Neurospora crassa OR74A: one gene and its partner. The protein of the gene in region 2 interacts with the protein of the main gene of each other region in a biochemical or structural test. Links are inferred from orthologs where the notes say so. Each region holds a gene or a part of one and is shown on either strand. Other genes may lie near its edges.

Evidence for each region.
Region 1: the proteins of NCU03191 (region 2) and NCU07509 form a complex in vitro, tested with the Saccharomyces cerevisiae proteins (2 studies listed by BioGRID, with this or other methods). The link is inferred for Neurospora crassa OR74A from reciprocal best matches to the Saccharomyces cerevisiae genes MRS6 and BET2.

Annotation. Positions count from the first base shown.
Region 1 is NC_026501.1:355,023-358,568, reverse strand, and holds NCU07509 (geranylgeranyltransferase beta subunit), read right to left. Parts: upstream 2,167-3,546; 5' UTR 2,148-2,166; coding exon 1,715-2,147; intron 1,647-1,714; coding exon 1,027-1,646; 3' UTR 678-1,026; downstream 1-677. UniProt on the Saccharomyces cerevisiae protein: Catalyzes the transfer of a geranyl-geranyl moiety from geranyl-geranyl pyrophosphate to proteins having the C-terminal -XCC or -XCXC, where both cysteines may become modified. Acts on YPT1 and SEC4.
Region 2 is NC_026501.1:4,858,024-4,862,183, forward strand, and holds NCU03191 (rab protein geranylgeranyltransferase component A), read right to left. Parts: upstream 2,770-4,160; coding exon 2,690-2,769; intron 2,598-2,689; coding exon 1,534-2,597; intron 1,330-1,533; coding exon 1,001-1,329; 3' UTR 983-1,000; intron 834-982; 3' UTR 564-833; downstream 1-563. Other genes in the region: NCU03190 (Rec8), read left to right, coding at 1-458; NCU03192 (hypothetical protein), read right to left, coding at 3,976-3,997, 4,084-4,160. UniProt on the Saccharomyces cerevisiae protein: Substrate-binding subunit (component A) of the Rab geranylgeranyltransferase (GGTase) complex. Binds unprenylated Rab proteins and presents the substrate peptide to the catalytic component B.

The DNA of each region.
Region 1 (3,546 bases), about 4.5 Mb from region 2:
TGGAAAGAACGGTTGATCACGAATCTGAGGACAGTTTGAGGAAGGTACAATGAGATTTGTGGGCACCTTGGTGCCTGAGTGTCAGTCGGTGGGCGAGGAAAGTGGGTGAGCTCGCCTGAGAGGGAAGGAACGAAGAAGACCCAACCATCACGGATTTGGAGGGGTGAGTCTGGAAGGTGAGTGTGCAGTGCGGTACTGTAACGTAATAAATCACGATTTCTGGAGGAAGTCGCAGGAAAAGTTGATTAATCTTCGGCCCCGAGAGGTGTCCAGGTTGCCTGAGAAAACTTGCTATCAGCTCATAGAACTCACTGTTGATGTCAAAGGCAAGTGTCGTTGGTGAGACTATTTCATGTCCCTGCATCTCAATCAACGGTAACGTAACAAACGGGCAACTTCTTCAAACTGTTCTCAATGATACCATCAAGTCAGCAACTAATTGTCCAATGGTAGGCGACCAAGCTGCGAGACGGGTAGATGCAGTAACAGGTCATTACATTCAAACAAAGCTCAAGGAACAATTCAGTTTGAAAGACGAAGGAAACGATGAAGGGATCATGGCTTTATGCCTTGGGTTGCAAATGTCAGAAGAATTGAACACACCAAAGAGTGCCAACAAGAACATCAAGGAGCAAAGGTAGACAATTAGACAGTGACAACACAAAGACAGAATGTGCGAGTGGTTCAAGTGACAGAAAATTGTATTATAGGAACACTATGGAATGTCCCCTACCTAACCATGTCGATTGATGTTGGGTACTCTCAAGCAACAATAAACCAGTAGGGAGTTACTCATCTGGGCTCCAAACGCCTCACATTCCCACTGAAGGGATGCAATAACGTCTTTTGCCCAAACGAGAACGATGTTTCTCTTCTCCCGCCTTGTATCCTGCCGACGCCTGGAGTGCGTGTCGGAAGGTTATTAGATGGCAGGAGGTAAGTTGTGTTGATATCCTGTGTCATGTCACGATGATGAGATTGATAGAAGGAGCCATCGTACTGTATTCCGACAACATCACACCACACTTAACGACCCAGGACACGCTTGATGGTCGACTTGGGCATGCAATACACCTCGTCAACCGGCTCCAAGCCCGGATAGTCCAGCAAACTCAGACCCGCAATACCAAAGCAGGTGTGCCAGACATCCACCATGTCGCCAGGCCTGTCCGAGATGCCACCCTTGTCCGTGTCTTGCGAGCTCAGGATGAAGCTGGTGAGCTTCGCCTTGTCGATCCAGTGCGTCTTGCCAATCATTTCCAGACTGCTCAGCACCCACCAGCTATAGCACACGTCCTCCTTCTTTTCCGGACGACCGTTCAAGCCGCCGCCAGCGATCTGCCTCTCACTCAACCAGCGGCCCAGGCGATCAACGTCAATGAGCTCCTTGCGGCCAGCAATGGTGAGGGCAGCGACGCACGTGAAGATCTGACCAGAGTGGGACTCGGCACCAGGGCTGACACCGTAGCCGCCGTCAAAGTTGGCGCACGCAGCAATGTGGTCAACGGCCTTGTCAACATCGACAAGGTGAAGGAGGCCAAGAAGAGAAAGGGCATTGAAGGCGCCGTAAAGGAAGCGAGTGTCTTCCTCACCCCACTCATCACCCGCAAACGTGCCGGTCTGGCGGTTCTGGAGGCTGGCAATATCTGGACCCGACAGTGTCAGTACAAAGTGTCAATGGGGGTTTACCTAGGTTTGATGACAAGCAACGCACACTTTCCGACCTGTGCCTTGCCCCGGCCACGCGTCTCGAGGTCATCAAAGGCGTCGACCATGGCGAGGATCTGCACGGCACTGACGGTGGACAGCATGTGGGCATCATGGCCGGGTGCCGCTCCGAAGCCGCCGTTCTCGTGCTGGCATGATAGCACAAAGTCGATGGTCTCAGCGCGCGGGAGAGCCTCGGGGTGGCCGAGGAGGTGCAGAGCGGTCAAGCCCCAGTAGAGGCCATTGAGACGCAGATGCTCCGTCAACCAGTAGTCATATTCGTCCTTTCGGGAGTCGAGACTCTGGATGTACTTGACGTGGGCAGAGGTTGCGAGCTGCAGCTCTTGCGGGAGAGAGGTGAAGCTTTGTGTCATGTTGGAGAATTTGAGGGTTTTATGTGTGGTGCGGTGGGTGGAAGCTTGGATGGGATTAGGCTGCATTCAAGGAACCAGCATTGTGGGAACGGAAGTCGGAAGTCGGAGTTACGATTGAACGATTCCCTTCAGCCTCCATTGCCCGCCGGTACTACCCCACCATAGATGGACGCTGAGGTCTTACTTACGTAATCGGTACTTGGCAGCCACACTGCACCATTCAGACGCCATGCCAAGAAATGCCCTCTCCAACTTGCTCAATCTGGAGGAGGAAAGGCGCAATGACAATTATCATCAGAGCTCCGACAAATTCATCATCTCTTGTGACCTTGGCAGATGCCCCAAAGGCGGGACACGCGTATTTGCGAGAGTCATTTGATTTTTGGGATCTCTCGCGAGTGCAAATGAGGTAAATGAGCTTCATCTCATGAATGTCGTGATTATTTTTAAATGAAGGGCTGATAGGTTGGGCAGCAGTCGTACCGAGTAAGTGTACAGTGCACCGGCGCTGAAGATGAGGATACGAACAGTCATCGTACAGGGGGGTGAAGGCATTTGTCTCTCCATCCAAATTGAACTGGAAGACATCCCTCACCACCCACTTGGGACATTGTCCACAGCCTGATGAGGCGTGACGATCTTGTTTCTCGAAAACAGCTGGTTGACATACGATGGCAGTTTGGAATGCCTGCTTGGGCCAATTTGCGCTTCAAGATGACGAATCTGACCGGCGCTTCGAATCGGTATCCTCTCGTTTACATGGGGGGGTAGAGTAGGGCACACCGGTGTCACAGCCGATTTGAGACCGTATCTCGAAGCGAACGTTGCGACCGTCAACGTCGATGACTGGCGCAAGTGCGCAACAACGTCCGGCCATCCAGCCTCTTCCACGGCCGTCAAATCGGAAAAAAGAATGCGGTCCAATGTTACGAGATCTGGCCAGGGTAAGTGCAGTGCAGCTTTACACTATGTAGTCCTTGCAGCAGATCACGGTCTCGTGCAATCATGATCGAGACGCCTTCGGTGACGGGTCTTGGCTTGGTGTTTTGGACTTTGCAACGTGGACTGCCCAGGTCGAATCTTGCCGTGATGCATCTATGTCACTTGTGAATCGAGACTCTTTAGTCCAGGAACGGGAGGTGGTGGCTGAAACCACCGGAAAGCAAGGCCCAAGTCTCCGGTAGAGTTCCAGACTTTTGATAGGTAGCTGTAGGGCATGTTTCGACGCGATTGTTTGCCCTTGATTCACATATTCAACATGATGCCGTCATATGATTCAACAAAAGACCTCAAAGTTTGGTGAAAAAAAAGAAAAGTTGCAGTGAAGCGCTGGAAGCAACGTTGAACCCGTCCTGTCGGATTGGAGACAGCGCTTGTCGCGGAAGACATGGCCGTCCAGCAAATGGGACGAGAGAACAGTTGAGCAGCCAGTGAGAATCGAGAAAGGACAGCAACAGTTTCGGGC
Region 2 (4,160 bases):
AGGGTGGCCGTGACCTCTTGCGCTGTACTCCTTCCGGCGAAGCTGAAATGACTGCTACCCAGGCTGCGGCCGAAACCTCCCAAGTAATGCGCGACGCTCTAGATCGCGACGGCCACAACTTCCTGGCTTACGTCAATATGGTAGCCAAAGCCAGAGGGGAGACGCGGTCCCTCGGCGGCGGCGGTGCTCCACCCTCTTCTTCCCATGCCCACGGAGACGGAAACGACAGACTTCTCAGACAGTGGGTTGCCTTTGACGAGCTGTTGGATGAACCTAGAGACAGAACCCGACAGGTGGCGACTCAGGCTTTCTACAACGTCTTGGTCCTCGCGACCAAAGACGCAATCAAGGTGGAGCAGGACATGGAGGGCTTCCAGCCGTTTGGCGAAATTCGCGTGGGCGTTGAGGTGTCGGAGGCTGAGATGCTGGCTCTGATGGAGGAGGATGGTGACGAGTGAAGTGGCTGATGCGGAGAGTTTTGCAAAGAATGCACACTTATCGGTGCAATCGGTGCGAGTCTTGCGGTTCTTTTCTTTATTATTATTTCTCGGTTCGGGTTGTCGGGTGGGTAAATGGGAAACGGGATGCTGTGCTCCCCTACACTGTGGGATCATGATTGAGTAAAGGGCCAGATGAGATACCATTTTGATTGGTTTGCTAAGCAATCATGCCTCTGACAAAAGCCATCTGGCGCATGCGGAAGATAGGATCACAGTTTCTGCGGAGGACATAGGGAGCTGATCTTCGGAGAAGTATAGGAAGGGGACAACGGACTTCAGGCAAACGGCAACTTTGCAACACGCTGGGGCTCACTTTGACAGAAGATTTGGCGACTGAGGAATTCACAACAAATCAGCTACCAGATAGCAGTGAGATGGATTGGCAATCGAATAATAGAAGTAAATTGAGATTAATCTTTTTCAAGTATGTTACGGAGTGTGCGGAGGGCGGTGCATAAGACAGTAAAGAGACCAGCCCTTACCATGGTCGTCACCAAGAATCATTCATAATCATCATCATCCACGGGTTCACGATCAGTGAAGACCATGTACTCTGCATCATCAACTGCGCCGCCAACGACCTTCTTCCACGCCTCACGGACATGATTCAGCGATGCATCGTCCATCAAGAGGGAAAGAGATGGGCCTGGCAGATCAAGAATCAACCCATCAAGTCGACTTTGCTTGACACCAGCAGCCTGTTCATAGTATAACTGATACAAGCACTGGGGGACTCGATCAGGGTCCACAGCGGAAAGCAAGGATTCAAGAGAGCGACTCAAGATCTCCTTGGAGTTAGGAGTCACCATTGTGGACAAGTATAAGACACCTGTTGGTTTCCAGTCAGCCATTTGCGCGTAACAAGTTATGAATGATGCGGAAGGGTTGAACGGATGAGAGTACGATCAGAATGTCAGAGGTATTTATCGTCAACGCCGAAGCTTGGACAATGTAGATAAGTATTCAAGATGTGGATCATCATAGTACTCGAAATGGGTAAATTGAAGGGAGCAAGGAAATAGATAAAACTTACTCTGACCATTGGGACATTCGCCAGTGCCGCTCGAGTGAGCGAAAACATAGACTGGGTCAGTGTTTGCTTCGCCAGGTGTTGTTAGTGAACCCGGAGGCAGAGCGACGACCGCAACGCAGGGAGTCGGCGCCCCGTCGACGGTAGACTCAAACAAGGTCTTGAGCGGAGAATCAACAACGGCCACTAGCCTGCTGATGCTCGGCTCGTCACCAACGCTTTCGTCTCCACGCACGAGCAACTTGGTTTTCACCTTGTCGCCGCTGGTCAACTCGAGCTCGATCTCGTCAGTAGCAGTCTCCATTGACTTGATACCAGCGCCAAGCATGTAGACAGCACCACCGACCGCACCGGCTCTACAGGCGACCTGGGCAATCTCGGAGATACCGCCCCATTTGGGATAGAGAGCAGCAAAGCCGGGGCCAAAGTGACCCATAGAGGTAAGATGGCGATGGACGATGAACAATCCATCCTCGGTAGTGATGCGGCCATCCAGCGAAAGCGTGAGGGTGATGATGTAGGTCTTGAGCTCGGTATCCATCTTGAAGTGCTCCTGTAAGAAGTCCACCAAGGGTTTATCGGCAAAAGGCTTCCAGGCATCTCTCTGCTCCGGACTGTCGTAGTCCAGCACAAACCGTAGAAACTTCATCAGTCCGCGCTTCGCCTTGGCCGATATAGCAGTAGTTGAAAAGACATCTTCGCGGGTGGAAGGAATGCGGACAAGGCTGGGTTGCTGTTCAGGGCCGACAGGTGCTTTGAAAATGTAGAACGATCCGACGGCGAGGAATTCCACCTGCCGGTACGCCCGGGAAGAAACCAATTGAGATAGCAGCTCCGAGCGGGCGTGGATCAACTGCGGTGCCAGTGCCAGCGAGTACGCTCTGGGGAAGGAGAGACCCACGACATCCGGCTTGGTGATAGACGCGGACCTGAAGAGGCCTTTGTCCTCGGTGGCCAGACGGTCAACCCAGGACTCAGCTTCTTGCAGGCTGAAAGCCGCTTCCGCCCCGCCATAGTAGTCGTTGGGGTCTATGTGCAAAATGTTCTTGCCCGATCGCGAGAGGGATCTTCAAGGCGGAGAACAGCTATGTCAGTCGGTCAGTTAGACAGGAGAACGATGAAAGTCGGATGAAGAAGAGCGAAAGAAAAGTTTGCTTACAGTGCAAGCAGAGACTGCTGCAGTCCGGTGCCGCAGATGACGACATCCCAAAGGGTATCGCCGATAGATCCCATCGCCATGACTAGGGACTCTGTGGTTCGCGGAACTGCCAGTCTGTTGGGAAGTAATAACTTGGGAAAAAGAACGAGGGTTGCAGCGGCAATTTTGAAATGAAGTTAAAGTTTGGTGCTTGCGGAGCCGGCAGTTCCTCGGACCGGTGTGGCTTTTTGAATCGGCCCCGCCCAAGCTTTCGTTTTTGTGGGTTTCTGTTGTTCGTCCCCCGCCTGACAAACGGGCAGACGCACGGGCCACTGGCGAAGCTTCGAAGTGGTCAAAACTCGACGTCCATCCACCCCAAATTTTCCTTTTTCTCTCATCAACCACTCAACGAAGAGACGCGGTTGCTGCTGCTGCTCTGCAGCCCAACAGTATCGCGGGAGTCTTGGGGGGCCTTTCATTAGGTTTCTCCGAAGTTGAGTGGCAGATTGATGCCACAAACAGCCCTTCTGTATCTCCTGCCTTAGAATCACCACATGTGAGGGCGGGTCGAACGATCGGCACATTTTTGCAACCATGCTATAAAAATTGCAAATGTCTTGACTGCTTTGCCAGCTCAACTCCGCGATGCCCAGAAGTTGTAGATGACTTTCCGACTCAGAAGCTCACACCTTTGCGGTTTTTATGCGCAGCGATGTTGTTAGCCGTCAAGTTATCTTGCATCATATCATGATGGCTTTGTGCGATCATCATCATTGATCACTATGTTGTACAGAGTCGTAACGGCTGAATTCGAAGCTGAACAGAGCGCTTTTGTTGTAGGATGTTCCAAGTGGGTATCCATTTACATCGCATTGCTCCTCGAGTACAAACAGGACAAGACAGGACAAGATGGTTTTGAATGGCACAGTCGCCCATCTCTCTCCGTAGAATTGGTGGTGTTTTATCCTCCTCCGGCCGCAACCAGGGTGCATCCAACATATGGGTATCTTCTTCGTACTCTCTGTCTCTCTGTCCATTGGCATGACCAAGCCGAGGTTCTCCGTCGAGATAATATTGACTCCTGATAGATCATGACTTCATGCCCATAGTCGGTGTTTGAAACCCCAGAGATCCTATGACTGCATCTAGACAAGGCCCATCATCCATCTATCTTGTCGCCGATCAACGTCCTCCACATCCGCCCCGAGAGGATCGCCCATTTTCCGCCTGTAGGCCGGCAGCCAGCCATCAAACTCCCCATCCGTGAAAGAAAACTCAAACTCGTAGTCGCAGCTCCTTCATTACACCTACTTCGTGTTACGAAGGGGTCTAAATATGATTACTGTTAGTGATCATGCATGTGGGAGGAATGACCGCCTCATGTGTCAAAGCGTGAGATAAGAGATAGAACATACCCGCAACCTAGAGGAGTTGTCACGCCAAAGAAGCAGTCACCTGCATTCTTGGGTACAACTTGCTCAGGCTTGATGGG